2 linked regions of the Astyanax mexicanus genome follow. The protein of the gene in region 2 purifies or fractionates together with the protein of the main gene of each other region. This does not show direct contact. Links are inferred from orthologs where the notes say so. Each region holds a gene or a part of one and is shown on either strand. Other genes may lie near its edges. The genes, in order: arpc1a and actr3b.

The links.
Region 1: the proteins of actr3b (region 2) and arpc1a purify together in Homo sapiens (affinity purification with mass spectrometry; 5 studies listed by BioGRID and IntAct, counting the BioPlex papers as one, with this or other methods). This does not show direct contact. The link is inferred for Astyanax mexicanus from reciprocal best matches to the Homo sapiens genes ACTR3B and ARPC1A.

Annotation. Positions count from the first base shown.
Region 1 is NC_064410.1:54,813,169-54,829,453, forward strand, and holds the start of arpc1a (actin-related protein 2/3 complex subunit 1A), read left to right. Parts: upstream 1-10,325; 5' UTR 10,326-10,496; intron 10,497-13,298; 5' UTR 13,299-13,326; coding exon 13,327-13,390; intron 13,391-13,490; coding exon 13,491-13,595; intron 13,596-14,849; coding exon 14,850-15,072; intron 15,073-15,181; coding exon 15,182-15,289; intron 15,290-16,285. Other genes in the region: myosin-16-like, read left to right, coding at 699-902, 2,744-2,869, 2,971-3,141, 5,405-5,605, 6,482-6,679. UniProt on the Homo sapiens protein: Probably functions as a component of the Arp2/3 complex which is involved in regulation of actin polymerization and together with an activating nucleation-promoting factor (NPF) mediates the formation of branched actin networks.
Region 2 is NC_064413.1:52,126,507-52,141,761, reverse strand, and holds the start of actr3b (actin-related protein 3B), read right to left. Parts: upstream 6,265-15,255; 5' UTR 6,120-6,264; coding exon 6,076-6,119; intron 2,135-6,075; coding exon 2,079-2,134; intron 1-2,078. Other genes in the region: DNA repair protein XRCC2, read left to right, coding at 8,822-8,860, 10,243-10,324, 11,689-12,485. UniProt on the Homo sapiens protein: Plays a role in the organization of the actin cytoskeleton.

The sequences.
Region 1 (16,285 bases), on a different chromosome or scaffold from region 2:
AAAATATAATTATACTCCAGTACATGAAATATATTATGGAATATGCTATACTTTTAATATAGAAAACAGCACATAATATTATATATGCAGTATATATCACAAAATTGAGTTATTTAAAAAAATAGTTGTAGTATACCATATAATATAGTTATAATATACTGTATACTACAGTTATACTACATTATATAATATACTGTAGATATATTGTACTGTATACTAAAGTTATAATACAACATATAATATAGTTATAACATTATGTAGCCCTAGGAACACAATAGCATATAATGCTGTGATATATAGCATAATTTAAAGCATTCTATACCATATGTTATAGATATGCTTTAGCATTTTAGTTATAGTTATACTATAGCGTATATTATGGAAATGCTATTGAATATAATGTAGTTCTATAATAAATCATACAATATACTGTAGATATACTATTGCATATAATACAGTTTGATTTATCCTATAGTCTATTTGTACTGTAGCATATATTATACATATTTAAATTATAATATATAATATAGATGTGCTTTTCATGTAATACAGTTATAATATATCCTATGGTCAGTCTATTTGTACTGTAGCATATAATACACATATTTATATTATAGCACATAATATAGTGTACTGGTTGGATTGCAGTTCTGTATAATGGAGCTGGAGTCTCAGCAGATGTTCTGGTTCTCTGGCAGGATATGCAGATGCAGATGGATGAAGATGCACGAGTGCACGAGGAGCTAAGAGAGCACTACAGCCTGCAGGAGCGCAGAGTCTGCCTGCTGCAGACAGAGATAGAGGAGCTGCGCAGCGGCCTGGAAGCTTCAGAGCGCTCCAGGAAGCTGATGGAGCAGGAACTGGTGGACGTTACTGAGCGCCATAATGAGCTCTATTCCCAGGTATACAACACAAACTACAGCAGCACACTATTCACTGATTAAACACATCTTAATGGCTTAACATACAATACAAAATATACACTGCATATTAATCTACAATGCAGAAAAAAGGTAACTTTTGACTGTACAGTATATACACTGCAATCCTAAAGTTAAAGTGGGACAGGAAGTAGTACCAAAGCTAAAGAATGCAGCAGTGACCCATGGGATGTGTATACTGTAAACCCATAAGTTGTTAAACTCAAATGAATTAAGTCTGTTTTACATAAAATTAGATGTTTCTAAACATTACTCAACTATTTTGAGTTAAGTGAACATTTGTGGTCACATATACAACTGTTGAAAAAAAAAACACTTCAGTTTCTGAATCAGTTTCTCTGATTTTGCTATTTATAGGTATATGTTTGAGTAAAATGAATATTGATGTTTTATTCTATAAACTACGGACAACATTTCTCCCAAATTTCAAATAAAAATATTGTCATTAAGAGCATTTCTTTGCAGAAAATGAGAAATGGCTCAAATTCAGACCTCAAATAATGCAAAGTAAACAAGTTCATATTCAGAAATCAATATTTGATTAAATAACCCTGGTTAAATCACAGTTTTCATGCATCTTGGCATGTTCTCCTCCACCAGTCTTACACACAGGTTTTAGATCATTTTATGCCTTTACTCCTGGTGCAAAAATTCAAGCAGTTCAGCTTGATTTGATGGCTTGTGATCATCCATCTTCCTATATGATTATATATAGGTTTTCAATTTGGTAAAATCAAAGAAACTCATCATTTTTAAGTGCTTTCTTTTTTTTCCGGAGCTGTGGATTCAAATGGAGATTTTTGAATGGAACCAACTTATAATTGAGTTTAGGCATACTGGGTGTGTCCCCCATTTTCTGAGTAACTCTCATCATTAGTGTGTAGTAATTCCTGCTGGGCTACCTTAGGTAAACTTGAAGATCATACATTATGGTTAACAGACTGGTCTCTGTGTTGTAGGCTATAAGAACAAGCATCATTTTCTGAGCTGCAGACACAACTCTGTGTTGGCTGTTCTCTCAATACTGTTTACTCTATTGCTCTATTTATGTGAATTAATGATTTTGAGAAAAGTCTATGAGTGAGTCTATGTTAATTTAACTTTTATGTCAGTGTTTATTTTGATTTTTTGTGGCACCCCTTTAATTTAGGCTATAATAATTCTGGCTATAAAAACAACTACAATGTGCATATATTAAGTGAAAATAACTTAATATAATGATTGCAATAAACTTAAACAAGTAAGATAAACCAGTAGTGCAATAGTTACTTTAACTTAAAAAGGTGTCAAGTACTGGCTTTTTGAAAACTTAATACATTTGAGGCAACAAATTACCTCAATTAGATTTAAATTAATAGTGTTTACAGTGTTTGTGGGGTCTTATGCTCTGAATATGGATGTAATTTCTGCAAGAGATGCTTGTCTTCTAGCATGGACAACCTTTATTTTCAATGAGGGTAACCCTCATTGTCAATGTAGCCACGTTTACATAAAAGGGATTGAAAATGAAGTTTGAATTATAAAAACAAGAAAATAATTTAAGATTTAATTAAGAAAGAATAAAATAATTAAAAATAAAAGGAAATGCAAACAGAAACAAAGAGAAAAATAGAAAAATACGTAGAATAATAAATCATAAGCACAGTTAAAGAAATAAAGGACTAAAATAACCACAATTATAAAAAAGTAACTAAAAAATGGAACTAAAATAAATAATAATAATAATAATAATAATAAATAATAACAAAAAACCACACTTATTGACACTTCTTACTGTACATATTTCACATTCTCTCCCACAGAACCAGAGCTTAATTATTATCAAGCGCAAAATGGAAGCAGACTTGACTCAAGTCTCAAACGAGAACGAGGAGCTGATCAGCGAGTTCCGCTCTGCTGATGAAAGAGCCAAGAAGGCCATCACAGATGTGAGTACTGGACTCAGTCTGAGAACTTCTCCACGTTCCTTTAAATACGCAGGAAACAGATCCTTACAAATTCTCTAATGGCTCTTTCATCTCTTCTCCAGGCAACCCGTATGGCGGAGGAACTGCGGCAGGAGCAGGACCACTGCATCCATCTGGAGAAGATAAAGAAGAACAATGAGCTGATGATCAAAGATCTGCAGCTGAAAGTGGAAGAGGCAGAGGAGCTAGCCTTAAAGTCAGGCAAACGTACCATCCAAAAATTAGAAGTCAGGGTGAGTCCTAGATAACACCTGTTTCTGCTTATCAGTTTGTTTTATACATACACTGACTCATACTGACTTACAGTGACTTAAACACACACACAGAGGGAAATATAAAGTATTGGAGGCTTAGGGCCGGTTCTACAGCGCCCCCTACTTTTCAAAAAGGAGACGATCAGAAATAATATTTTTTAGAAAACTCTGCATTAAAAAAAAAAAAAAAAACATCCTTACAGTGTTTTATGATTTCCATAAAACTACCCCCACCAACAGCCCCAGTTCTAGACTGCATTGCTTGGGGGGCAGTAGAATATAATGGGTGGGCATGTTGATAATCATATTTTTAAATCCAGTGCTAATGATACTGGCTAAATTGATGTATTTAGTAAAGTAATACAAATTTAGCATGCATCTTCAACAGAAAACAACACAATATAAGATTTCCCATAATGTATATTTATTGAATGAAACACAAAATACATGCAGAGGGGTATCAAGGTTAAGTCTGTGTTAGGAGAGATTAGCGATTAGCTGCTACTAACCAAGTTAGTAGCTTGCCTAACAGCTAGCTGCTAATACTACAAGTTAAGCAACAAAAGGGTTACATATCAGTAACACTGAGCAACCAATCACCACAGTTTACAAAACATTACCTTGTGGAAGTCAGTTTAAACTGGAAGAAGTGTTTAATTCGCCCATATATATCCCTGCCTCTTATGTTCACACTACAGGACCTTTCATACTGAACCAGAACATCTTTTTTGAATGAACTTCTCCAACAGTTTGCTGATTTTATATGACTCAAAGAGCCAATCAGAAATAAGCACGCAAATATCTTCTCCTTGCACAGCAATATGGGTTTTTGTGATTGGTACAGAGATTTTTTCAGAGCTAATTTAAAAAACAGTCGTTGCTCATTGTGCTTCAACCTACCCAGCAGAACCTCTGGAATTAACAAACTCTATCTTCATCAACCAAAAAGTCTAGTTTAGAGAAACATATGGTTCAGAGTGGAAATGTACACGTCTGACTGCATCCAATAATTATTTCTAACACAAACTGAGCCTTTCTTTTTGCTCTAATCCAGCTGAATCCAACACTAAATAAACAGCTGTCCCCAAACATCTAACAGTTTTTGAATGAGCAAGAGTTCCAATACTGGACCAATTAATGCCTTTGTCTATAAAGTGCCTATAAAACCAAATCAGCCTAAAATGCATCAGTGAAAGCTTTAAAAAATAAAAAACATCAGTAATAAACATTGTTAAATGATTACATACTGGCTCAACTAATTATTAATTGACATTAGTTGAAACATGATTATACAATTCTAAATGTTTTAAAAAAATAAGTTATAAAAAAAATAAGTTTCTTTGATTTTACCAAATTGAAAACCTCTGGAATATAATCAAGAGGAAGATGGATGGCCACAAACCATCAAACAAAACTGAACTGCTTGAACTTTTGCACCAGGAGTGGCATAAAGTTATCCAAAAGCAGTGTGTAAGACTGGTGGAGAAGAACATGCCAAGATGCATAAAAAAAACTGTGATTAAAAACAGGGTTATTCAACCAAACCATATTCACTTTATGAATATGAACTTGTTTTCTTTGCATTATTTGAGGTCTGAAAGCTCTGCATCTTTTTTGTTATTTCAGCCATTTCTTATTTTCTGCAAATAAATGCTCTAAATGAGAATATTTGTATTTGAAATTTGGGAGAAATGTTGTCGTAGTTTATAGAATAAATCAACAATGTTCATTTTACTCAAATATATACCTATAAATAGCAAAACCAGAGAAACTGATTCAGAACTTAAGTGGTCTTTTCCAAAAATGTGTAATGTATAATAATGTCTTAACTAATGTCAATTAATAATTATTTGAGAAAATATGTTGAGACAACCAATAAAAATGTTTATTACTGCTTTTAATTTTTTTTACAGCTTTCACTGCTGCATTTTAGACTGATTTGACTTTAATTAATTAGCTTTTATTAATGTAGACTTATTTTAAACTTGAACGTTTAGCTTTGTGTTGCAGTTGATTAGCAGTATGGATAAAAACTAAGGGTCAGTTTCCTAAACAGTGATTAAGCCTAGTCTTGGGCTACACAGCTTTTTGCATTTCCCATTGAAAGGAACATTTAGTGTAGGTTAGGTTATGGTTAATTCCTGTCTGGAAAATACAGTTTAGTTTAATATGAATTCCTTAATGGTCTTTGGTGCATAATATTTCAAACCCCCACAGCTTAACCCCTTTTTGCTGTGAGCAGGTCAGGGAGTTGGAGAGTGAGCTGGATGTGGAGCAGAAGAGACATGTGGAGACGGTGAAGGTCCTGCGTAAGAACGAGCGCCGCCTGAAGGAGCTGATCTTCCAGACTGAAGAAGACCACAAAACCAACCAGCGCATGCAGGAACTGGTGGAGAAACTGCAGAACAAACTCAAGTCCTACAAGAGGCAGATAGAGGAAGCTGTGAGTGCATACCTGTGTTTTGCGCTTTAGTGTACATGTATCATACATGCAGATGTGGAACATGTGAACATAAATATGTGTTGTACTGTACTGAAATGTAAATGTAAATACCAGGAAGGTCCTGGTTGTGCAATAGCAGTGCTACTCTAATCATGAATTTACCTCAGCAGAGCTTTTCTAATCATGAATTTAACTCAGCAGAGCTTTTCTAATCATGAATTTACCCTAGCAGAGTTTCTAATCATGAATTTACCTCTGCAGTGCTTTTCTATTCATTAATTTACCTCAGCAGAGCTGTTCTTATCATGAATTGTGCTACTCTAATTTTGAATTTACATCGGCAGTGGTATTTAAATCATGAATTTACCTCTGCAATGCTATTCTAATCATGCATTTACCTCAGCAGTGCTATTCTAATCATGCATATACCTTAGCAGCCCTACTCTTATCATGAATTTACCACAGCAGTGGTGTTCTATTCATTGATTTACCTTGGCAGTGTTATTCAAATCATGAATTTAATTCAGCAGTGCTATTCTTTTCAATAAGTTACCTCATCAGTGCTATTAAAATCATGAATTTACCACTGCAGAGCTGTTCAAATTATTAATTTGCCCCAACAGTGATATTTAACTCATAAATTTACCTCAGCAGAGCTACTTTAATCATGAATTTGTCAGCAGTGCAATTCTCATTATGAATTTACCTCACAAGTACCAAAAGTCAGTTTGAAAAGGGAGCTTTTTACATCTGGAACAAATGCTGCTAAATTGACAGAGAGTCGATACTTCTCTCGATACTTCTCTCTTTTTACCACTAAAAAGAGGTTTTGTAAAAATCCTCCTGCTGTAAATTGTATTTTTTGCCTGGTTGCAGGAGGAGCAAGCCAACACAAGTCTGTCTAAGTACAGGAAGACCGTGCATGAGCTGGATGATGCTGAGGAGAGAGCGGGCAATGCTGAGATGGCTCTGAACAAACTCCGAACCAGGAATCGTGCTTCAGTGACCAAGGGCTTTACTAACGTAGAGATCGTGCAGATCTCTAAAACCTCCAAGAGTTCCTCAGAGGAGTAAGAGTTCTGACCCATGCAGGAGGTTAGCATCAGTGATAATAGAGTTTATTTCTATTTTATTTTCCTCTGCTTGTAAAAATGTACTCTCACATTGTGCTGAAATAGTTTTGGAACTGCTAATTTATAGTAAATCACTTCCAATATGTAATTAAAATGATGTTAAGTTCTTAATATATACGTATATACATACATATATGTGAATACACTGGTCATATGTTATTTTAACCACTTATAATACATTTTAACTATTTTTTTGTTTATCTGCCCAAATGAACAATAAATATACTTTAAAAGTGTACATAAAACATTATTTTACAGCAAATACTGTGCTCATTAATAGCATACTTAATATATTATGATGTGAAATATTGGAATATAATTACGATATTTATGCAATTATTCTGAACTTTTACATGTCTTGTTTTAGTATAGTAAAGTATATACTTTGAGTATATACTTCACTTTAGGGCACTTAAATGCATTTTTAGTGAAGTACAACTTATAAACTAATATGTATGAGTCATATTCTTGCAAATATTTGTAATATTATTTATTGACACTGACATAAAAACCATGAAACGAAAATTGATTAAAAAATAGCTAATTTAAGTACATAAATATATCTAACTATAACTAGTACCAAATTAGGTTAGACGAATAAAGCCTAATTTTTCAAGGGTAAAGTTTAAAAATAAAAAATAAATATAATTCTGCGCATCATTTAATGTTGATCAATCAATTTGTTCTCACTTTCAATACATTGAGGGTGACTCCCATTTACAATGTTGCTGAGCATTGTACAGCAGGAAGGATTTATAATAGTAAGAATGAATTCAAGATTTAAATGTATAGCAGGGAAAATAAAACAAGACATAAAAATATACATAGAAGTAAATCTATAAAACAGTAAAAATCTATAATAATTTAATATTAAGGGTAAATAAAATAACTAAAAAGTGTAAATAACAAAATAATAATAACCCTGTATAAATAAGACTATTATTAGACTATTAAATATACATTTTTACAAAGGTCCAAATTAAATCAGCTGTTTTGAACTGTCTAGATTTAAGTAGTTTTGACACTTTGTGATATAACACTCATTTATGCTTTTTCTCTCCTCAGAGTGACGGACAGACCAGCACTCATTCCCCACTGGAAGACCTTCTACACAGCGGACGAGATTAGAGAGATTCACCGAAGTCTTAAAGCTAAACTGAAAAGTCTTAACTAGTGTGTGTGTGCGTGTGTGTGTGTGTGTGTTGTACTGTGTGTTAGATGAATGTGATGGGTTTGATCTGAAGCTGTGTAGAAATGGTCTTCAGTAATGGGGTCTGATTGGGGGAAGCTGCACTCTCATGTCAACGATAGAGGGTACACCTGTGTTTGTCACTCTCCTGTCATGAGAAAAAATTATCAAAATAAACTTTAAGCAAGGATTACTGTGTGTTCTTCAGTTATTAAGAAATCGAAAGTATTTGTGTTATACAGTATATCCCTTTTTTCATTTCTGGTTGGTGGACTATTCTCAGTCCAGCTGTGACTTTAAGTGGTTTAAAAAACTCCAGCAGCACTGCTGTATGTGATCTGACATTATTTTATTTATGTATGATTTATTATTATTTTGTAAGCTGAAATGAAAGAAGATTGTTTAGCCATATGTTTAGTAATACTAAGGCTATTTATTAGCTAAAAGTTAATTTGCTACATACATAAAAAATACTAATATGTATAATGAAGTAATAGGGAACAAATATAAAATATAAAGAGCAAAAGTTAAATATTGTAAATGTTTTTAAAATAATTGTATTTTTAATGATGTACATTATGCCACAATCCTACAACCTAAAGCCCCATAGCCACAACATCTTAACTTCAGTGGATAATTCCAGTGTTCTCTTTTTAGAAACCTAATATGGTCACCAACAAGGGCACAGTTTCTGGAACATCTGCTTAATTCTGCTTGATTGTTCTAAAATCAGGGGTCTTAAAAAGAGTTTATCATGCTTTTGTTGGAGTAACTGTCTCTACTATCCAGGGGTGCTTTCTGCTTGAGGTTGCTGTGAAGATTTGATTGCATGCAGTGACAAAAGCATTAGTTAGGTCAGGATGTTGAATTATCACCCCACCTCATCCCATTAACATTAGAGCTCCATCATTCCAGAGAACACAGTTCCACTGCTCCACAGCTCAATCCTAGTGGGATTATACCCCTCTAGCCCTGGCCTAGCATTAGACATGGTACCAATAGTCTCATGTAGATTCCTTTTCTTTTGGCAGTAGTCCTCTACAGACCATAAGCTGAAAGAAAGTTTATAAAGAAGTAGCAGGCTTTCTTATGGTATAAGATTTATTACCAAGCAGAAATAATCTACCAAACACATTTTTGGTTTATGTTTGTGCTTTCTGCTTGAGGTTGCTGTAAGGATTTGATTTAATTGAGTGACAAAATCATTAAAGAAGTCAGGATGTTGATTTATCACCCCACCTCATCCCATTAATATTAGATGGAGCTCCATCCTTCCAGAGAACACAGTTCCACTGTTCCACAGGTCAATACTAGTGGGATTATACCCCTCTAGCCCTGGCCTAGCATTAGACATGGTACCAATAGGCTTAAGTCATTTTCTTTTGTCAGTACTTCTCTACAGGGACTGGATATGTTGGGTGTGAGAATGTTTTTACTTATTTTACAGAATTTACAAAAGAAAAAACTGCAGGCTTTGCCACATTTCAGTGCGATTTTTTTTTTATTATCAAGCACAATCTTCTTGGGACGCCCACTTCGTGGCCTGTCTTTGATATCCCCTGTTATATGGAACTTGGCCTTTAATTCGGAAATGGTACTAGGGCTGACTACAAATAATACAGAAACTTGGATTTGTGGGACAACAGCTTGAAATTGCCCTATCGCACAGGCTCTTTCCAGATCAGTTAAACGTGGCATGATGCTGATTCCTGGAGCCGACACCTATTGACCACTGTAGCAGAACCTATGCTCACTGGTGCTGCCAATCAGGTCGCAATCAGGAGGCACCTGGGGTACCATAGGTTCAAAGGATTTTATCAAGGCTTTCTCATGGTATACGATTTATTACTAAGCAAAAATAATCTACCAAAACACATTTTTTTTTATGTTTGTGCTATGTTTTTTTTTTTTTTAAGTACAGTAGTGAAATGGTTCTACTTTATTACCATACATCTCTGACTCTCTCTAACCTGTAATATTTCCCTTGCGGGCATCAGGGAGTATTAATATGATGTAGACATCTGTGTAATGTGAACCTAGCCCTAAGCCCTACCCAGATGTGATTAGTTTCCCGGGGGACATCTGTGAAAAATATTTCACACTTCTACTCAGTGATAAAACTGTTCAGTAGCTCCTCCATTTCCACTCGCTGCTGTGTTTCTCTGTGTAAACGGCTGCTGTGGATCTCTGTGGAAACTCGTGCCAAAAGTGTAATGATGGTACGTGTCAGTGGACAAATAGCTATTTTATTAAACTACATTTTAACGTTTTTTTTTATATCAAACACTGAATAAAAGCCTAGTCCAGATTTTCCACTATATTGAATGGCACTGCTTTTCCCTCCCTTTCGCTCGTCCCCGGCGTTTGCTGTGCGTACGCATGCGCAGTGCGGCGCGTCTGTCCAGAGTGTCGTTGCCATTTCCCGGATTCCTGGGCAGGCCGAGTTCAAGCGGAGCAGCCGGAGTGGATTCGTGTCGACTGGCCAGAGTCCGCGAATTCAAGTCCGTCCGAAAAGGCGAAGCAGCGGCGCGGCGTCTGCGGATATCTCACCTCCGCAACAACCATCCAGGTATCGGGGGTATCTAGCTGCTGTCGGTTTTCTGTGGCGGAGCGGCGCAGGCCTCGGGCCCGGCTGTGGGTGTGCGGGAGCAGGCAGGAGTGAGCGGGGATGAGCCGGCATATCGGAGGGGTTTGGCCGGTGTACTGTCAATTTGTGCAACCGTGTCGAAACGGGCTACCGTGGTGTACTGTGCTTATTTGTAACGCCTCGCTAATTTTCTGATTATTCTTAAATAAAACATAATCTTTAGATTATTAAAGAAACATCCATCTATGATCAAGAAACACGTTAAAACGTTTACAGTTCTCGGTCTGCGCATGTGCAGAACGTTGACGTTACATATATTAACGGGTAGCACAACTCGACAGAACACCGGTCTGCTGACCACAGAGCGAGGCCCACCCATCTTTATGGTGAAAATTAGCGCCGGGAAATGGGTGTTATTTCGCTTAAAACACGATTAAGGAGGTTTTATTCAAGACAAATGTTTACTTTGTCCTATTTTAACGATTCTAATGAGGTTTAGCTGTGGGTTTCCATATCTAGAGCATTGATACTGGCTTGGTACTGATGGAAATCTTCACTCCAGGTCCGGAACGTAAAAATCCAACCCCAGGATTTGTTCCAACTGCCAGGGCGGCACAGCTGCAGCTGAGGCGCCCTGACAGTTGGAACGAAATCCTGGGAGGGGAGTTTTACCTTCCGGACCTGGAGTCAACACTTCTAGATATAGCCCTGCTTGTAACAATTAGCCGCATAGCTAGCTTAGCTAGATACTACGTTAGCTTAGCTCCAGCAGTAGAAGCTGATATTGATCCACGCCCTGAAACCAAGAAGTGGACATTTACTGAAGTTATTCTGGTTCTGCAGGTTTTGTGAGAAACCTTAGCTTCGTCTAAAAACATCCAGTTGAGTATTGAGAAGCTCTGGTGAGGGACTGAAAGCGATTTAGGCCCTCAGTGACTGACTCTGCTGTTCCTTTTGCTGCCATTAATGCTATCTAACTAACCTAAGCTTGCTAACTAGCTACCTGTATAACTAGATATGTAGGTTGGTTGGACTGCAGTTTGGTTTTCTGACTGTTTGAGGATAAATTTGTAAATATATATTATTAAAAAAGGTTATGTCAGATTTTCCATTTAGTATATTAAAGAAGAAATGGGTTTCCATCATTTTTTGAAGTGTTGTTCTAGTATTTTTTATCATTATTTCCGCCCTCACAATCTAAATTACATGATTTTCTGATTTTTGATCCATTTTTGCATCTTGATGGTATAATATGAAAACCTGATGGCATAATTTTAGTAAAGTGAATCTCAAATTGTGAGGGGTTACAAAAATGGGTCAGTGTAACATATAGTAAGCCTTTAATTGATTATCTGATTCCTGCATCTTGTAACAAAAATCTGATGATATAATTCATCCTACTTTTGTTGCAAGGTAAAAAAATAAGTAAATAAGAATTTAAATTGTAAAGGGCGGAAATTGAAAATGAAAAATTATATAAAAAAAAAATATATATATATATATTATTATTTTGTTTTACCCTGTGGAATAATAAAAAATATTTTATAGTTTTTTTTTCAGCCAGTCACAATGGGGAAAAAATGGGGGAAAAAATCAATTATCTGATTGCTCCGTTTTTGTGTTTTTAACAAAAGTGGGTTGGATTATACTATCAGATTATACCATCATATTTTTTCCCTGAAATTTTGATTGTTAGGGTCAGAAATTGAAAATGAAAAATAATATATATATGTAATAATATGTAAAACATGTAGCTGTCGGTTCAAGTTTCTAACCGTTTTAGTGCTATTGTTAATATATACAATTATATTATAAACAATAACATTTTTAATTTTCGCATGGTTTGATGGTTATTTTATTTTTGTCATCATTTGGTACAATTATAAATACAGTTGTAACAAGAAATCCAATTTCCTCTTCAATATATAATCATAATTTATATTGAATTTAGTCATAAATGATCATTAAAGTTAACTGATAAGCATTAAACTGACCCCATTTACTCTCTGGTTTATTTTGGTGCCAAAATAATATTATAAAATTGATTTTCTGCCGTATATATTGAGATATTAAAAGACAGGCAGGTTAATGATCCAACATGTCATGCTATTAATATTATTGCAAAGTGGCTTTACAGATATCCAAAAGTAAGAACAAATAATAAGCAAGTCAGATTTGACAGTCACAGTAATGAGAAGGAAGAAAATTTGGGAGGAATCAAGACAAATTTATAACTGCTTGTACATTTTTGATAAAAGTCTTTGTACCACCTCATACCATTTTTTGCTATGCTGAAGCTATAGGCATAGTAGTGATGGTAGGAATACTGAAATTATTGATGGGTACTGGTGGAAATAATACTTATAATAGCAGTAATTAGAAGAAGAAACTTTACATTCTTACAGTGCTAGTCCTTCATTAACATTCAGGTTATAGATGGAAACTGTACAACATAAGCTAAAGACTAGAGACATCATTAAAAGTAAAGACATGATTAAACACTTTATACATAAATCAGTAGCTATATGTGCATGTATGTAATAAAATAAAATGTAATGTGTATGTACAGTTTGGTATGTCATCGAAAAAATAAAACACTGAATGACTCAAGCAGCAAAAAAGGTGTACTAAGAAAGGTTTGACTGAATTTGCCTCCAGTCCTAAAACCCTATATTGAGAAGCCCTAGTTGGCTTCCTATTTAATTATGGCTATGAGGTAATGCACTAAAGAATTTCATTCTGTTAACACTATGGTATGTAACTAAGGCATGTTTCTTTATTCAGGGCTGCAAAAAAAAAGAAATACAAGAAAATGTCACTCCACCAGTTTCTCTTGGAACCCATCACATGCCATGCATGGAACCGGGACAGGACTCGTAAGTAGCCAACTCATTAATCATCTCCCAGAGTGTTGAACATGGCCTGGCATTTACACTGTAATGTTGAGAAATTATTCATTCTGCTTGTCTTTCTCAGAAATTGCTATCAGTCCAAACAATCACGAGGTTCATATATACAAGAAGAGTGGAAATCAGTGGGTGAAAGCTCACGAGTTAAAAGAACACAATGGGCACATCACAGGTAAGCGCCTCTCTGATTAGGCTTTCTTGCAGTGATGTGAAAACGAATTGAATCCTTAGTAAGAAAGACAGTTGTCAAAAAAAAAAATGTCAACATCCAATAGCAGAGCTAAGAGAAGCCGCAAGGTAAACGCAGGAGCGTTTTTCAGAACTGGACATAGATAAGACTCCAGCGAGGTTTTGGAAACCTAAGTTCTTCTGGAGTGTACAGAAAGGAGGAGAAACTGGTGGAGCTGTGGAGTGAGCAAGAGTGTCTCTTTGACTTGTCTTCCCATTTATACCAAGACAAAGTGGAAAAGTATACATTAATAAATGTAAAATAATCTCAGAAAGAATCTAGTTGCAGTCTTGCAAAATAATGTCCCTGCAAGATCCCCATTCTTTGCAAAATCTTAGTCTCTGACTAAAAAGTCTGTGATTTGTCTTTAGGTGTGAGAGGGTGTCAGACTTTAATCTATTAAAAGTCTTTTTAATTCATCTAGTGTATGGTTAGCTTTATTTGGATTGTTTTAGTTTTTTTTCAATCCAAATAAGGCTATCTATTTCATTTGTTTTGTACATTCTCATTTTTGATCAAACTTGCATCCTGACAGTAATTAGTCACCAAAGTTTGAGCTAATTTATTGTATTTAGTTCACATTGGCATATAATCACATTCACAACAGCAGTAAACGATTGGTTCAACACAGTGCACAATGCAGACAGTTTCATCTCACGTCTTACTCTGCTCACTTGGAACCACTTGCAGGCAGGTACTAAAAAGGAACCAAGTACCAGGTACCAAGCTTGATTAATTTAAGGTGTTTAGCACATACATGCACTCTGAGACTAAATATGGCAGATAATAGTGGCCAAAAACCTTTGTCCAAAGAATTATGTGAAGCAACATCTGCCTGGAAATACAATGATATGAATCTGAATGGGACTAAAATAATTAGATAGTCACTGAGATTAGTGCAAAAAAAAGTAGGTATTAACACATCCTGTCCTTTCCTCAAACAAGACAAGTTTAATCCAGGTGGGAATAAAACATCAGAAAGCTCAGTAAAGCTTTTAGCTTTTGTTTATATTTATATTTTATTAAAATAAGCAGTTTGATCTGAAACATTTAAATGTAGCAAATATGCAAAAATAGAAGAAATTAGGAAGGTGATATTTTTTTTTTTACAGCACTGTAGTGTGTCCCATCATTACATTTGACAAAACATGACCCTAGACTTGATGTGAGCTCATCATTGTTGCACAACTGTTTTAGGCATTGACTGGGCTCCTAAAAGCGATCGGATTGTAACCTGCGGAGCGGATCGCAATGCTTACGTGTGGAGCCAGAAGGACGGCGTTTGGAAGCCCACTCTTGTCATCCTCAGGATCAACCGTGCTGCCACGTTTGTGAAGTGGTCTCCACTGGAGAATAAGTTTGCAGTGGGCAGTGGAGCTCGCCTCATATCTGTTTGCTACTTTGAGTCTGAAAATGACTGGTGAGTCTGAATTGGAGCTTCTAGTGAACGTTTTAGGAGCCTTCAGTTTAAAACAGATCACATTGCAGCTGTTCTGTGCATAAATATGCTTTCTATGTTTTTTAAAAAGGTGGGTTAGCAAACACATCAAGAAGCCTATCCGCTCCACTGTCCTCAGTCTTGACTGGCATCCAAACAATGTACTTCTGGCAGCTGGGTCATGTGACTTTAAATGCAGGTAAGTTTGAGTCTCACGGTTACCTGGAATTTTCATTGAGAGTCCGCTATTCCCGTTATGGGCACGTGACTACTCGCAATCATATCACTCCTGTGTAAAGTCTAGGTTCTCCTTATAGCTTCACAGAAAAAAAAGAAAAAAAAAAGTATTATAAGCAGAGACCTTATTAGTGAGGATGTATGAATGGGATTTCTTGTAATGCTAAAAATTGCTCCTGTTTATGGAAAAAGTCTTGCCCTTAACAAAAAGAGCCAATCAGCTGCTTCTTGTGTGTAGACTGTAGGAGTGTCAGCATGCTGGTAGGAAAGCCCCTGTCCCGTCCCCCCATTCAAACAGACATAAGTGCCCGGCCAAGTGAACTGACATTTTTATAACAACTTTTTAAGAAGTTTTAGAGTATGTCAAATAATAAAAAAGTGGCATAATCAGAGATACAAGGTTTTTGTGTTGCCCCAGCGCTCACTGAGGGTTCAGTGTTTTCTGATTCTTTGTCCTGTAAAGCTGCTTTATGACATCAGTTGTAAAATGTGCTATACAAATAAATTTGATTTTGATTTGTTACAGTGACAATAACAATATTTGTTTTACTCTATATTTCCAAATGGTTGTGGACACTCCTTTAAAAAATGTTAGTTACACCAATTGCTGATACAGATGTACAAATGCACACTGTGTGTTTAGTCCCTGTAGAGAAGCCAACAGAATAAGACTGTCTGGAGCAAATAAACACAAAGCTATTGGTACCATGTCAAATGCCACACATGGACTAAAGGTTATCCAATCAGGTGGTGATCATCCATCGTCCTATAATCTAAGAGAAACATCCCCAGAAAATTAGAGACAGTTACTTCATCAAAAACTGCATAAAGTCTTTTAATACCTTTTGATTTCGAACAAAACCATGAAAGATCTTTGGCATCTATTTCAGACAATGCCATGTTTATTTGAACAGGCTGCTGTTGCTTTTCAGAACAGTGATGGACTTTTGTCTGTGTC
Region 2 (15,255 bases):
GTGAATCCCGTCGTCTCCTGCACATGGAAAATACAGAATACAGAACCCCCAGTGAGTGCGGAGGCAAGGAAAAACTCCCTGAGAGCTGCAGGTGGAAAAAACCTTGAAAGGACCAAGACTCACTATTCTATCACTGGCCAAACAACTTTTAAATTAATAAAAAAAAAGTCTTTATACATTCTCATAGGTTTTATATATTCAGGAGTATATCAGCGCCACTAATGGAAGCAGTTAGAGTTCATGTAAGCTTGGATGTACAGTTCTATAAAGCTCATACAGACAGGCGCAGTGCATACCTGAAGGTTGCAGGAGAAATAAAAGATATGGGATAAGACAGCTTTAATTAGCACCTCCCTACGGCATGGTTCAATTAAAACCCTGATCCAGAAATCTCTTCATTCCCACTAGAGCACCATAACACTGTGATTCACCTGCTTCCTGCTTTGGTCAAAGATGCTCACCACAGAGATGAAAGTGGACACATGTTTATGTGAGGGAGTATCATTTTCCTATTTCATAAAGGAACAATAATTCACTATTTTTGTGATGCCACAAAACAACCCAAGTACATACACTATATTAAGTCTTAGGATCAGAAAATCATGCAGAATTTGATAAAATGTGATTAATACTCACCAAACAGAGAGTTGTCGAAAAGTGCTATGTGCCGATTTCCATATTATACTCAGAAGCCAGGTGTGTTGGAATAAGCAGCAAGCGTCAATTCTCACAGTATAATCATTAACCAGCATTTGCCATATTATACTCAGCAACCGGGGAGTCAGCCCAGATCTAAGCCAAGCATTTGGGCTAGAATCTGGTCTAGATTCAAATCGAAGAGTGATTTTGCTATTGGAGAAAAGTAATCAAAATTCAAAAAAGTAATAAAAAAAAAGCAACCAAAACAGAGTCAGGCTCAAAATCCAAGTGAACAAAGTGTCAAAACTAACAAAACCATAGGGGCAAAACCAAAAGTGGGAATTTCAAAAAGCAGGCTGAAATCAGTACACATACTGATAAATCACAAGATAAAGCTTGGTCCGCAATTCTAGGAGGTTGGCAATACTTCACAAAGTGGTAATGAGAGAAACGGGCCTAAATAAACAAGTGAAACAGATTAGTATTCTGGAGAAGAGGAGCATCAGAACTGTTCATGTTTGGTTGATGGGGAGGGGGGTTGTATATACAAACTATATATACATTATATTGCCTATTGACTATTTACATTGTAGATTCTCACTGAAGGCATAAAAACTACGAATGAACACACGTGGAGTTTTATGTACTTAACAAAAAAAGGTGAAATAACTAAAAACATGTTTTATATTTTAGTTTCTTCAAAATAGCCACCCTTTGCTCTGATTACTGCTTTGCACACTCTTGGCATCATTCTCTCAATGAGCTTCAAGAGGTGGACACCTGAAATGAAAAGTTTTCCAACAGTCTTGAAGGAAGGAGTTCCCAGAGGTGTTTATTAGCACTTGTTGCTCCTTTGTCTTCTTCACTCTGTGCTACAGCTCACCCCAAACCATCTGGATTGGGTTCAGGTCCGGTGACTGTGGAGGTTCAGCTCATTTTTTGTTAAGTACATAAAACTCCACATGTGTTCATTCATAGTTTTGATGCCTTCAGTGAGAATCTACAATGTAAACAGTCATGAAAATAAAGAAACGCATTGAAAAAGAGAAGGTGTGTCCAAACTTTTGGCCTGTACTGTATACGGTATATAGCAGCCTAACTCTGCATCCAAACTTCACAGTCCAGTACTAACACAGTATCTCAATTCAAACACAAATCCAAATTCAACTCATCAATGAATTCCCACACCTGAGAAATCCATTTGTCCATGTCACATTTGTGTCAGGAGTACATCATAGAAGACATTATTACCACCCACAGTTGGCAGTGCAGTGGTAATGATCGTGACCTGTGGCATCTGGCTAAAAGCGTCCATGTGTAAACTCAAAAATCGCAACCACAATCAAAGCAGGAGACCCCACACACATGTCCCACAGCTCAGAGCAGCGTTCTTTAGCTCACATGGAACATGGCAAAAGTAATAAAACCACAGTACTTACAGGACGGCATGATAAACTGTGGCTCTGTGTTTCCTGCATAGCCGATCTTGGTGTATCTGAAACACAACACAATAATGCATTAGCATAACATTAGCAGTGATACAGTGCTGCATGTCAAAATTAATAACGGTTATTTCACATTAAAAAACTGTATGCTGACTCTGAGTGGTCCAGTGGTAAATCTTTAAAAAAAAATTCTCCTTGGGTTCTAAACATTATCAAGCTCTGTGTATCTCTTGATTCTAGTCTCTACAAACTAGCTATGAATATTTTGAAGTAAACAACGAGGTAAAGTCGCACTGGATAAGGGTATTTGATAAATACATTAAATGTCAATTGTGCTTTCTCAGGGCTCTGGCAGCTGATGGCAAGCTACATGAACAGGAATCGAACCAGCAATCTCCCAATCATAGTGGCATAGTGGTTCGAATCCCGCTCATGTAGAGGGTTAGGGGCCTTGCTCAAGGGCCCAACAGTTGCGGCTTAGCGTACCAGAGCAATGATCCCACAACTTACTGTGATCAACAACCCAGCACTCTATTCACCAGAGGTGGAAAGTAACAAATTACATTTACTCACATTACTGTAATTGAGTTGATTTTATGAGTAATTTGTAATTTTATAGTAGTTTTTAAATTAGGTAATTTTACTTGTACTCAAGTTCATTTTGACACAAGCAGTTTACTTCGCTACATTGAAAAACCCCCTGTTACTGAGAAAATACTGAGAAAAATAAAATGCTGGGAAAAAAACAATTGTCTGAATTAAAAAAAAAAAAATTGCACAATGCGCCGCAGCACGGATGCTCGCGCGTGGAATAACGAGGCAGTAACGTCCTCATGCAATGTAAAATGTGCCATGCCAGACAGAGCTGTCAGCTTTCAAAACTTCCACATCAAAACTTGCGAAAGCATGCGGTGGTTAGTTATTTATATATTCTAAATTCACTGATTAGCTGTAGATCTACTTTATAAAGACTAGTAATCTCAGTTCACATGCAGCTACACAGATTATACAATCTTCTGTATTTAGTAAAATATCCAGCACAATAATCCCTTTATTAAAAATTGTACAACCTAAGCAAATTCTTTGACAGAATTTCGGAAATTTCAGGTTTTCTGAAAAATATTGAAGGTTAATGGAGATGAAAGGTGTTTGTTATCCTGTATGTTTATTAATCGACTAACGTGTATAAATGCCTAAATTAATAGTATATTAAATTCGCTGAAATCTGTATGAAATGCATCTGTCGGCGCGATGTTAACAGGCAATTGAGGCGAATATAACCTAAATACCTTAGCTAATGATCATGGGGTGGTCTAAAAAAATACTACCTGAAAGGTCCAAATTATTATGTGGAATAATAGTTCATTAAAAACGATTTAATTTATGATTTGACTTTTTTACATCAAATAAAAATAATAATTTTACTTAATTACAATTTTTCAGAACTTTTTCCACCCCTGCTATTCACTGATACTGTATATAATCACACCAGTTCTATTTAAAAGACCACATACAGTTTTTATAAAAAAATAAATGATTATATGATTAAATTACTGCCCTTTTTACATTACAGCTTTATTACATTATTCTATTATAGCCCTATTATACCCTCAGTATCATTCTCAGTGAGTAAATTAGAGGATGTCAGACTGCATCACATATCAGCTAATTGACTATTGACCTAAGTTGACTCTGTCTTCACTCTACGCCAAATCATTAATCTCTGCACATTATGAGACCTCACTCACTGTACAGTATATCAATATATCATATCATCAGCTGTGAGGAGTGCAGTCATACTCCTGCGGGAAAACCCACGGGTGCTCAACATTAGCTTCTGCTGGCAGATGGTTTTGAATGGTCTAAGCTGGTATTTGATGGTCAGTGTGGTCTTATAGGTGCAGACATATCCTATACTGGTAAGCTAGCTGGATAACAGGCTCTTGACCAGCTTATCATATACTGAATCTGGGTTTGGTCATGCTTGGTCATGTTGGTTAACCCTTACCCGTTTCCCATTTTTATTTTAATACAAATATGGACAAATGAGATGGATGGATGGATGGATAGATAGATAGGAACTTTATTAATCCCAAAGAAAATTTAGCAGCCACCAGCACTTACAGAATACAACACAGAAGCACAGACAACAATAATAGGGGAAGTAAGAAAAGTTTAACTATTACAAGATATGTACAAGAATATATAAATACAAACAATAAAAAAACTATACAAAAAAGAGATGAGACCAAAAGAAAACGCTTTTGTTTTGAAAAGAAAACACTAAATTATAACATAATATCCTTATCCCATCTGTGAAACTTGGTGGTGGTAGTATCATGGTTTGGGCCTGTTCTGCTGCATCTGGGCAGGACGGATTGCCTTAATTTATGGAACCATGATTTCCATATTAAGAGACCACTTCAGTTTCTGAATCAGTTTCTCTAATTTTGCTATTTATAGGTTTATGTTTGAGTAAAATAAACATTGTTGTTTTATTTTATTAACTACGGACAACATTTCTCCCAAATTTTAAATAAAAATATCTTAATTTATAGCATTTATTTGCAGAAAATGAGAAATAGGTGAAATAACAAAAAAGAAGCAGAGCTTTCATAAAGTTTTAAGAGTTCAGAAATCAATATTTGGTGGAATAACTCTGGTTTTTAATCACAGTTTTAATGCATCTTGGCATCATGTTCTCCTCCATCAGTCTTACACACTGCTTTTGGATAACTTTTTGCTTTTACTCCTGGTGCTAAAATTCAAGCAGTTCAGTTTTGTTTGATGGTTTGTGATCATCCATCTTCCTCTTGATTATATTCCAGAGGTTTTCAATTTGGTAAAATCATTTTTTTCCAGAGCTGTATTAGAGAATTCTAAAGGAAAAAATGTCAGAAAATCTGTCCATGAACTGAAACTAAAAAGAATGTGGGTTATGCAGCAAGACAACGACCCTAAGCACACAAGTCAATTTTTCAAAGAATAGTTACAGAAAAAAGTTACTGGAACGTCCAGGTGCAAAAGTTTTAGGCACCTAAGCAAATGACACTAATTCATTTATCTCAGCAATCCATGTGTTTTTACCTAAAATAAAAGCACCGCATATGATTTTAAGAGATGCAAATAAACAAAAATACAGTAAAACGTAACAAGAATTTTAGTTTTTTAACTACGTTAATGTTATATCCTGTGAGCCAAGCTGAAGAACAAAGTGTAGAGATTTCAGATTTCTCCTGGATGCTCCTCAGCCAGCATGTGTATATTATGTTCAAGTCCGTCAGCAGCTCACCTGTTTTACCACATTTACCAGTAATTCACCAAACCAGGTGTTGATTAATATGATGAGAACTAGAAATACAGTAACTCTATTAAACTCAGATGAGGAGGAGAGATTAGGAGATTATTGTGATGCTGGTGTTTTTATCTTATTTCACAGATAAGAAGCTTTTTCTTTATTGAAATTCCCACAGGTGCATAAAACATTTGCACAATACTGTACTGTATATAGAGTATTTTTTCCCAGTACATTTTTTTACAATATTTCCCTGTAATTCTGCATGGCTTAATAGAAAAAAAAAACACCAGAGCCAGATCAAGCTCAATTGTTGGCCAGTTTAAGTGTTTGTTTGTATGTTAGTAAAAAAAATCAGCATAAGCACAAGCGAGATTGAAAAGCTGGCACGGTTTTAGAGTGGTCACCAACAGGGCTGACCCATTTCTGTCTCTGCCAAGAAATAGGACAGAACAGTGGAGGCTGGGGGAGGCTGGAAGTTGACATTGCGCACATAGTAAAGAGTGTTGGAGCTCTGCAGCTTCAGCTTCAGCTGCTGCTGACATTAGAGAGGGTCCCCGAAGACCACCAACACCAGCAGCTTCAGCAGAAAGAAAGAGAGATAGAAAGAGAGAGAGAGAGAGAGAGAGAAAGAGAGGCATAGGGATAGAGAGCAGGAGCTCCACAGCCATAAACAGCCCAAACTCACTCACTCACCCCGTCCCGCAGTCTATCACGCACGGAGGTAAGCGCACTGCCATGTCCGGCCAGCCCCACCAGCGTGACAACAGCCCCCGCCTGCCCCGCGCGCTCTGACGCGCTCTGACGCAGCCCCGTCCCTGCCTCAGCAGCGCTGCCTCGCGCGCCCTGCTCCTGCTTTCATCCCTCTATTCGAGGGAAAGAGAGAGAGAGAGAGAGAGAGAGAGAGAGAGAGAGAGGGATCACTTCCCGAGTAAAGGGCGCAGGGAAAAAATAGAAACATGCTGGATCCGCCCATCTCTCCAATACGGTGCCAAAAATACGCTGTGCGCAATTTGGAGCAGCCAGGGAACCTCGCTGCGTTACGCACAATGCGCACTGCTGATTAACCCTTTCACACCTGAATTATATCCATTTATGGAAATAAAAAATGTAAGAATTATGTTTTTTTCTTCTATTCTACTATAAAATGTACAGCTCTGGGGGAAAAAAATAAGACATCTATTATAATTAATGTGTTTTTTTATTTTTTTATTATCAATTTTACCGAATTGAAAACCTCTGGAATATAATCAAGAGGAAGATCACCAGGAGTAAAGGCATAAAGTTATCCAAAAGGAGTGTTTAAGACTGGTGGAGGAGAACATGATACCAAGATGCATGAAAACTGTGAAAAAACAGGGGGTTTCCACCAAATATTGATTTCTGAACTCTTAAAACTTTATGAATATGATCTTGTTTTATTTGCATTATTTGAGGTCTGAAAGCTCTGCATCTTTTTGTTATTTCAGCCATTTCTCATTTTCTGCAAATAAATGCTCTAAATTACAGTATTTTTATTTGGAATTTGGGTGAAATGTTGTCTGTAGTTTATAGAATAAAACAACAATGATCATTTTACTTAAATATGTACCTATAAGCTGTAAGCCTTATTTATCTCGTTCCCAGGCCTTAATTTTCTCATTGTATCTTGTACCCATGCATTAGGTTCTTATTCCCACTCCTTAATAATTTGTGGCCATGCACTATTTTTTAACATGATGTCACCTTAGGGGCTCTGTACTAAACAGTAAAAGAAACCATGATTTAATTAGCTAAAATGTTTAATATTTTTCCATTTCCATTGCATTGGAAGCCTCTGTGTAATATTTAATATTTCGTACTGACCTTTTTTTTCATTCAATAAGCTATAAACCCTAAACAGTAAAATAAACCATGAAAATAAAGTGTTCTAAATCACATTAAATGCTGTTACTTTGCCTCAATGGCTCTTGTACTACTGTTTTTTACCAGTGTTTTTGCAGTGGGCAGGACCAAACTACTGTTTTATTGGTTTATAAACTTGTTCGATAGACATTTAAGTTCTGTTTAGATAGATAACAGCTCTCAAATACTGTTATATGCAAAAAAAAAAAACTAAAAAAAGAAAATATATTAATATGTCTATTGTAATGGATGCGGGGCCTAAATGGGTTAAATCCACTGTTGTTGTTTTCCTGTGTACATGTACACTTTTTTTTGTATGTGTATGTATGCATATATAGGTGTATATTATGGGATATATGAAAGGGATAATATAATAACGTGCAGCTTAATTCCAGGGGTTCTGTATGTATTAGTTTAAGATTTTCTTTATTTCTTTATTCCCCTAAATCCTCCACTAGGGGGCAGTGTTACACTATTAAAAAAAATACATAGTGACAGGTAAAATACTGAAATTGCACATTTTAATATTTAAATTATTTTCAGCTTTAATGGGGATAATGTCTAAAATGGGTTAAAAATAGCAATAACAGCCATTTATCACTTATATAGGTGCATACAGTGTGTATGTAGTTATTATGTATCCTAAGTTACTTTAATAAACCATTATATTTCCTACATTAAGAAACATGTAGAAACTTAAAAGTGTTAAACAAACCAAAATACTCTATGAAGCATTTAGGTGCTCTTATCTGGGGAGCTGTTAACGTGTGGTTTCTGATGCTGGATGCTGGTAACAGAGGAAACTCTCACTCTTCCTTTCATAGGGTGGTCCTAATGAGTGCCAGTTTCATCATCATAATGTTTTAAGGGTTTTTTTTGCAGTGACTGCACTTAAGGATGTTTTTTTTTAAGTTCTTGATTTTTTGATTGACTAACATTCATTTTTCTTAAAGTATTTTTTCTTTATTTAGTTAAGTAGTTCTTGCTTCTCATATACTGGATTAGATCATTACTCAAATATTCACTATTCACTGTATACCTGTAACTCTACCTCTTCACTACTTTACAACTGATGCTCTCAAACAAAATGCATAGATGTGCAAAGCTGTCATCTAAGCAAGAGGTGCTACTTTAATAAATATAAAACATATAAAATAATTTCTTATGTTTTTCTTCATAGTTTGGATGAGTTTAGTATTAATCTACAATGCAAAACATTTTAAATCAATAAAAAAAAAACACTGAATTTAAGGTGTGTCCAAATTTTTGACTGGTACTGCGTGTAGCTTTAGGTCAAAATCCTAAATCCAGATTCCAAGATCCAATCCTGGGTTTTGTGGTGATTAGTAGGTGTGACACTGCAGAGCCAATCAGCTTACAGTACAGTTTCCTAAATATCCAGTGATAATAAAACCCTGGAATGAATACTGGATCCGGATTTGATGACCGGTGTTTTTTTTAATAGGTGCTATGGTTTGGACTTTTATTTTGGCGGGTCGTGGGTTACGTTCCCGGATGTAGAAGTGCGGTGTTTGTGCGGGAAAGCTGAAGCTGAAGGATGAGCGAGAGGCTGAGGATGGCAGAGAGTGGAGCTCAGGTATACACACACACACACACACACACACTAACATATAACTTACACACACTAATATCTAACATACACACACACTAATACACGGACACACATTAACACAAACTAATACACTGTTACACACTAAATCATTGTTACACACACACTAACATATATTCACAGACACTAGCATATATATATACTAACACACTTACTAACACACACTAACATATACACACACATTAATACACTAATACACAGACACAAACACATTAACACATTAAAACACATACTAACATACACACACACATACTAATACACAGACACTAACATACACACACTAAATATATACACACTAACACTAACTTATGCACACACTCACAATTACCTACACACTCTAACACATACACACACACTAACATATATACACACAACATATTAACTAACACACACACACAAACTAACATATACACACAGACACTAACATACACAAGCACACAAACACACAATAACATATACACATATACACTAAAACACACTAACTCACAGGCACACAATAATACACAGACACTAACACACAAGCACACTAATACACACTCTTATATATATATATATATATATACACACACAAACATGTATACACACACATACACTAACATATAAACACACACAGATGCTAACATACACAAGCACACACACACTTATAACGTTTGACACACTCTAACACACACACACCAGACCAATGTTGTTTCAGTGTCTTTTTTCCATATCTGGGTGGTTACAGTATCTCAAGAAAATGAATACCCCATGAAAATATCCATATTTTCATGGATCAACACTGAAGATGTGACACTTTGATACAAAGTAAAGTAGTCAGGGTTTGTTCTTTGGTTCCTTAAAGGACTATGTTTTTTTAAAAAGCCGAAAATGTGAAGAACGTCTATCGCTTTTACAAAAATGGATGTACTATTTGCTATTTTTGAGTTTGGATCATAGCAAAATTTATTTTCTGTGGCCAGAGGTTAATGGCCATGATCATTACCTTCCACTGCACTGTCCACTGTGGGTGGTAATGCCTTCTGTGACATATCCCTGATACACAGATGACTTTATGAATCAAGTAATCTCAAATACCCACTTATCATATATATACCCCACTACTTGACCTTGCATAAACATTGTTCAGCCTCACTCACAGGATAGCACCCCACCACTCTTACAGGTGTGGGTGTTCACAAGCCATCAGCAGAAGTAACACTTCAAGTTCAAATAACATACGGCTGTCCCATGACTTTTTTTTTTTTTTTTTTTTTGCATATCTTTAACATCCATGAGTGTCTCCACAACCTTTGACCCTTGATTACCACTTGTGTGCTGCAGTTTAATTAAGGGATTTATTTATTCCACAGCTATTGGCCAGAATCGAGGGTCGACAATCACTGAAAGACATTGAGCAACATATTTTCCGAGAGGACGGTGGTCCAGCTCAAGGTAAAACAGATATATATATATATATATATATATATATGTATGTATATATATATATATCTGTAATATGTATTTTTCTTATTTCTTTCTCACTTAATTTGACTTCTTTAACTTTATATTTTATATATTTATGTGCATATCTTACCCCAGACACTGTAAGATACTGCACATGAGGTGCAACCTAAAATACCTGAATGGATTTATTAGAAGGGGTATCCACTATGCACATAAGAAAATCAACCAATATTCTTTACCACAGGTTTACCCTATCTATTTGATTGTAGTGCCACCATATGTAGTAATGAGGCAGTACGTTTTAGGGAGTTTGGACTAATCTATATATTGCCAAAAGTATCCTGCGCTTATTACATTTACATTTTATTATTGCATACAATATGCTATGGCACACCCCTAACTGAGATATAAAAAAAAAAATAAAAAAAAAGAATTTTATCAGATTTGTAACAGAAGTCAATGATCCAGAATGTCAAGATACTAATAATAATGCACTAAAATGCACGAAATAGCTTCATATATCCAGGATTAAAGTAAAATAAATGATACTGGACAGATAAAATCTTTCTCTAATAGATGTATAATGGGAAATCAGAACAGTGTGAATTTTTCTTTTGCTAAAAACAGCGAAAAGGTGGTACCCTGATGTGATAAATAGGGGTGAGTTATATGGCACTATATTTCAGGGTATAATAGTATATAATATTAATAAAATAATAATATTAAATATAATATAAAAAAATGTTGGCGATATTATTGCGTACAGCTCTGGAAAAAATGAAGAGACCACTTCAGTTTCTGAATCAGTTTCTCTGATTTTGCGATTTATAGGTTTATGTTTGAGTAAAATTAACGTTGTTGTTTTATTCTATAAACTACAGACAACATTTTTCCCAAATTCCAAAAAAATTGTTGTCATTTAGAGCATTAAGTTGCAAAAAATGAGAAATGACTGAAATAACAAAAAAGATGCAGAGCTTTCAGACCTCAAATAATGCAAAGAAAACAAGTTCACATTCATATTCAAGTTTTAAGCATTCAGAAATCAATATTTGGTGTAATAACCCTGGTTTTTAATCACAGTTTTCATGCATCTTGGCATCATGTTCTCCTCCACCAGTCTTACACACTGCTTTTGGATAACTTTATGCCACTCCTGCTGCATTAGTTTGATGGCTTGTGATCATCCATCTTCCTCTTGATTGTATATATAGAGGTTTTCAATTTGGTAAAATCAAAGAAGCCCATCATCAGAGCTCTATGTTATTATGACAGATACTGCAGCAGCACTTCCCACTGAATTACTAACTAAAGCTACACTTTGTTTGTTTGACTTTGTTTTTTGCATGCAGGTGATGTTGTGGAGTTCCACGGAGTTGAAGGCAGTGGGAAGACTGAGATGCTGTACCACCTACTGACCCACTGTATCCTCCCCAAGGACAGCGGGGGGCTGGAAGTGGAGGTGGTCTTCGTAGACACAGATTACCACTTCGACATGCTGCGGCTGGTGAGCATACTGGAGACCCGGTTGACCGGGGCGGCGGATGAGAACGCCGACGGCTCCGAGAGAGAGACGGAGGAGGCAGTCCATTGCTGCCTGCGGCAGCTCTCCGTCATCCACTGCTCCAGCTCGGTCCAGCTGCTCCTCACGCTGCACTACCTGGAGGGCACCATCTGCAGCCGGCCCTCTCTCTGCCTGCTTGTCATAGACAGCATCTCCGCCTTCTACTGGATGGACCGCAGCAGCGGGGGCGAGAGTTTGGCTCGGCAGGAGTCCAACCTGAGGAAATGCGCCGAGCTGCTGAATAAACTCCGGAGAGACTACGGCATCGTGGTGTTCGCCACAGCTCACGCTGTTATGAGGAACTACTCTTCTGCAGCACACGGGTCGTCAGAAGCGAGCGGCTCTACGCCTTCCTGGAAGAAGAACGTTATGGACTTCGACAAGCCCTATCTCTGCAGAACATGGCAAAAGATACTGACTCACAGACTGGTGTTCTCAAAATCAGAGCAGAGTCTGGAGGCAGTGGACCAGAAACAAGTTTTCTCAGTAGCGTGCAGCACTGTACGGACTAAAGGCGTGAAAAGATGTACGTTTCATGTCACAGAAGGAGGCGTTCAGTTTATTGATGAAAAATTACAAAAATGACTGTGCTGTTTCTGTAAAACACTGTATTATATTATAATAAACTCAAATAAACAAAGTCAGTGGCCAATCAGAAATCGGATCAGATCACGTAATCCAGTCCTAGTTTGAAAATGGATCAAACCTTCAGTTTCTGTTGTTCAAAACTTTCCAGTAGGATTTGGATAACTTTGATCCAAAAAAACAGGATTACCCTGATCCCAACAAGGGGTAGGATTTCAAAGTGGATTTCATGAAGAAAATGTGGTAAAACTTTAAAATCAAAGTTTTAAAGTAAAAAAAATACATTTGTACAATTTAGTGTACATACATTTACTTCTATTTTGCACTTGACCTGTTTAACTGTTACAGTGATAAAGTAGACACTGGCTACCAATTAAGCCTTTTTCTATAGTAAAATAAAAATAAAAACAATCTTGACCCCATTAAATAAACCCCCCAAAAGATTTCAATAACAAACAAAAATAATATATTCATTTTTTCATCTACGTCACTGTCATTCATCACTGTATATTAATGTCAAAGAAACATTTATCAGATATGAAGCTGTCAAAAATAATTTCGAACAATTGCAAAGAACACCAGAGTTTGTTCTGGTTCTTCAACAGGCTCAGGTGCATCATGAACATCACAGAGAGGGACATTGCGTCTGGTAGCAACATTGTGCAGGACAATACATGCAAGTGTTATGTTGCATGCTCCCTGTGGTTCGACTCGCAAATAGTTAAGTCATGCAAAGCGTCTCTGCAGAACTCCATTTAAACGCTCAATTGCTCGTATTGTTTTGCAATAAGCAGTATCTTGTTACGGCAAGAAAAGGAGTCATCAACCCCTGTTGGTTCTTCTATCTGTTTTTTACATAGCTGGTAATCCGGATTAGGTAATCCTGAAAACTGTGTTTCTGGATCAGGTTGATCCAATCCAATATTGCTTTGAAAAACTGTCTTAAAAGTAAGACAGATCACCTGATCCTGGATAGCAAAAAATGTGATTTCCAAATCTGGATAATTTTGATCCGGATTACATTTTTTGAACAAATGGCCCTATATGACACCAGGGGAACCCTCTCTACACTCTACTCTACTATACTGTTCTTGATCTAATCTGAAGTAGTGCTGGGCGGTATTCCGGTTCATATGGTATACCAGAGGGGAGCACTGTGTAGAACAGCGCCAGCAACGAAGCAGAGTAACAGCATATCAGCTCAGTCTCAGTCCAGAAACCCTAAAAGTGTCCACTTTTTCCTACCGATCCTCCTCCTCTCCTCAGTGACCCTAGTATATATACTAGGGGTGTCACAATATTTTATCGGAATTGATCGAAATTATGTCATGGTCTCGAGCGTCGAAGTCAAAAAGAGGATCGACGATTCCTCCCTCTAAGCAACGCAGCAAATAGCGCAGCACACTGTAGCCAATGCCGCTGACATTGTGATTGTTCAAAGAGCAGCCCTTTCTCCAGAGACATGTGGACATTCTCATCTTCTTGAAGAAAAACTTGAAAATATAAAAATAACAGTTGTTTTGTCTAGCCTCAAATATGTTAATAGTTTTGGTACCTTAAGGAGCATCTTTCTCTCAGATAAAGTTAATAATATATCTTTATTAAAGAAAAAAGAACTTCTCATTCTCAGAGACTGAAAAAGTCTTAAAGTCTTATTTTTCATGTTTAACTGTTATAGTAGGATAGAGTTCAGTTTGTTAAGGCTCTAATTGTTCTATTATTTTGTACATGACTGTTCCGGTATTTTTTTTATTATTTATTTTGTATATTTTACATATATATATTTTTAGTTATTATTATTATTATTATTATTATTTATTTTTTTTTTTTTACTTGGGGACCAATGAGGAAACTGAAACCCTCATAAGGCTGAGGTCAGACAGGGCTGTCAGCTTCACTGGCCGGAGAAATGTTCCTGGGAATTCCTGGGAGTAAATTCCTGGGAGTAAGCGTGATTTTATTGGAATATCTGAATATTTAGCTGTGTGTGATAGTAATGCTCCATTGATGTTGTTTAAACTAATATTTTTTTCACTTCAACATGAATGCAAAATATAATATTTATTATTGTATTTATTAATATTTATTTGTTTTATTACATTCAATGAAATTATATTTCACTATTAAAATAATTAAAAAAATAACATATGCAACCTTTATTAATGGCTAATCGGGCTGTACTTTAAAGCTTGATATGCTTGTTAAAGTTATAATCTCTAGAATTTGGAATTGGGTTTATTGATTTCTCATTTTTATTTTTGTATGTGGAGCTCTATCCAGAAGCTGTGATTGGCTTGGCAGTATCTGGCATGTGCTGAAAGTGAGCGTTGTGATTGGCTCAGTTCATCGGTAGTCAACATCCTATCCAAAAGGGATCAGCTGTCCCATTTCCCAATTACAGCTCCTTCCCTCCATTCCTCCTCCTCCTCTCCTTCCCTCTATTCCTCCTCCTCCTTCTCTCCTCTCCTCGATTCCTCCACCTTCTTCGGGGGTAGGAGAGGAGGAGTAGCAAAAGTTTTTGGACGCATCCTCACTCTGTCCTGCCTGAAAAACATGAGAACAGAACTCCTGCAGCTTCTGCTGTTGCTGCTGCTCCTTACAATATGAGTAACTATAGCCGTTTAAATATATTAACACTGTAGCTTAAGCTGAATGCATTTGTTAACTGGAGAACTAAGGGAATTGTGATAAACTGATTAACAGCTGCTTAAATACTGTAATGTCTCCAATGGCTTCAATAATAACATATTTTAAATTGATATTAAACTTG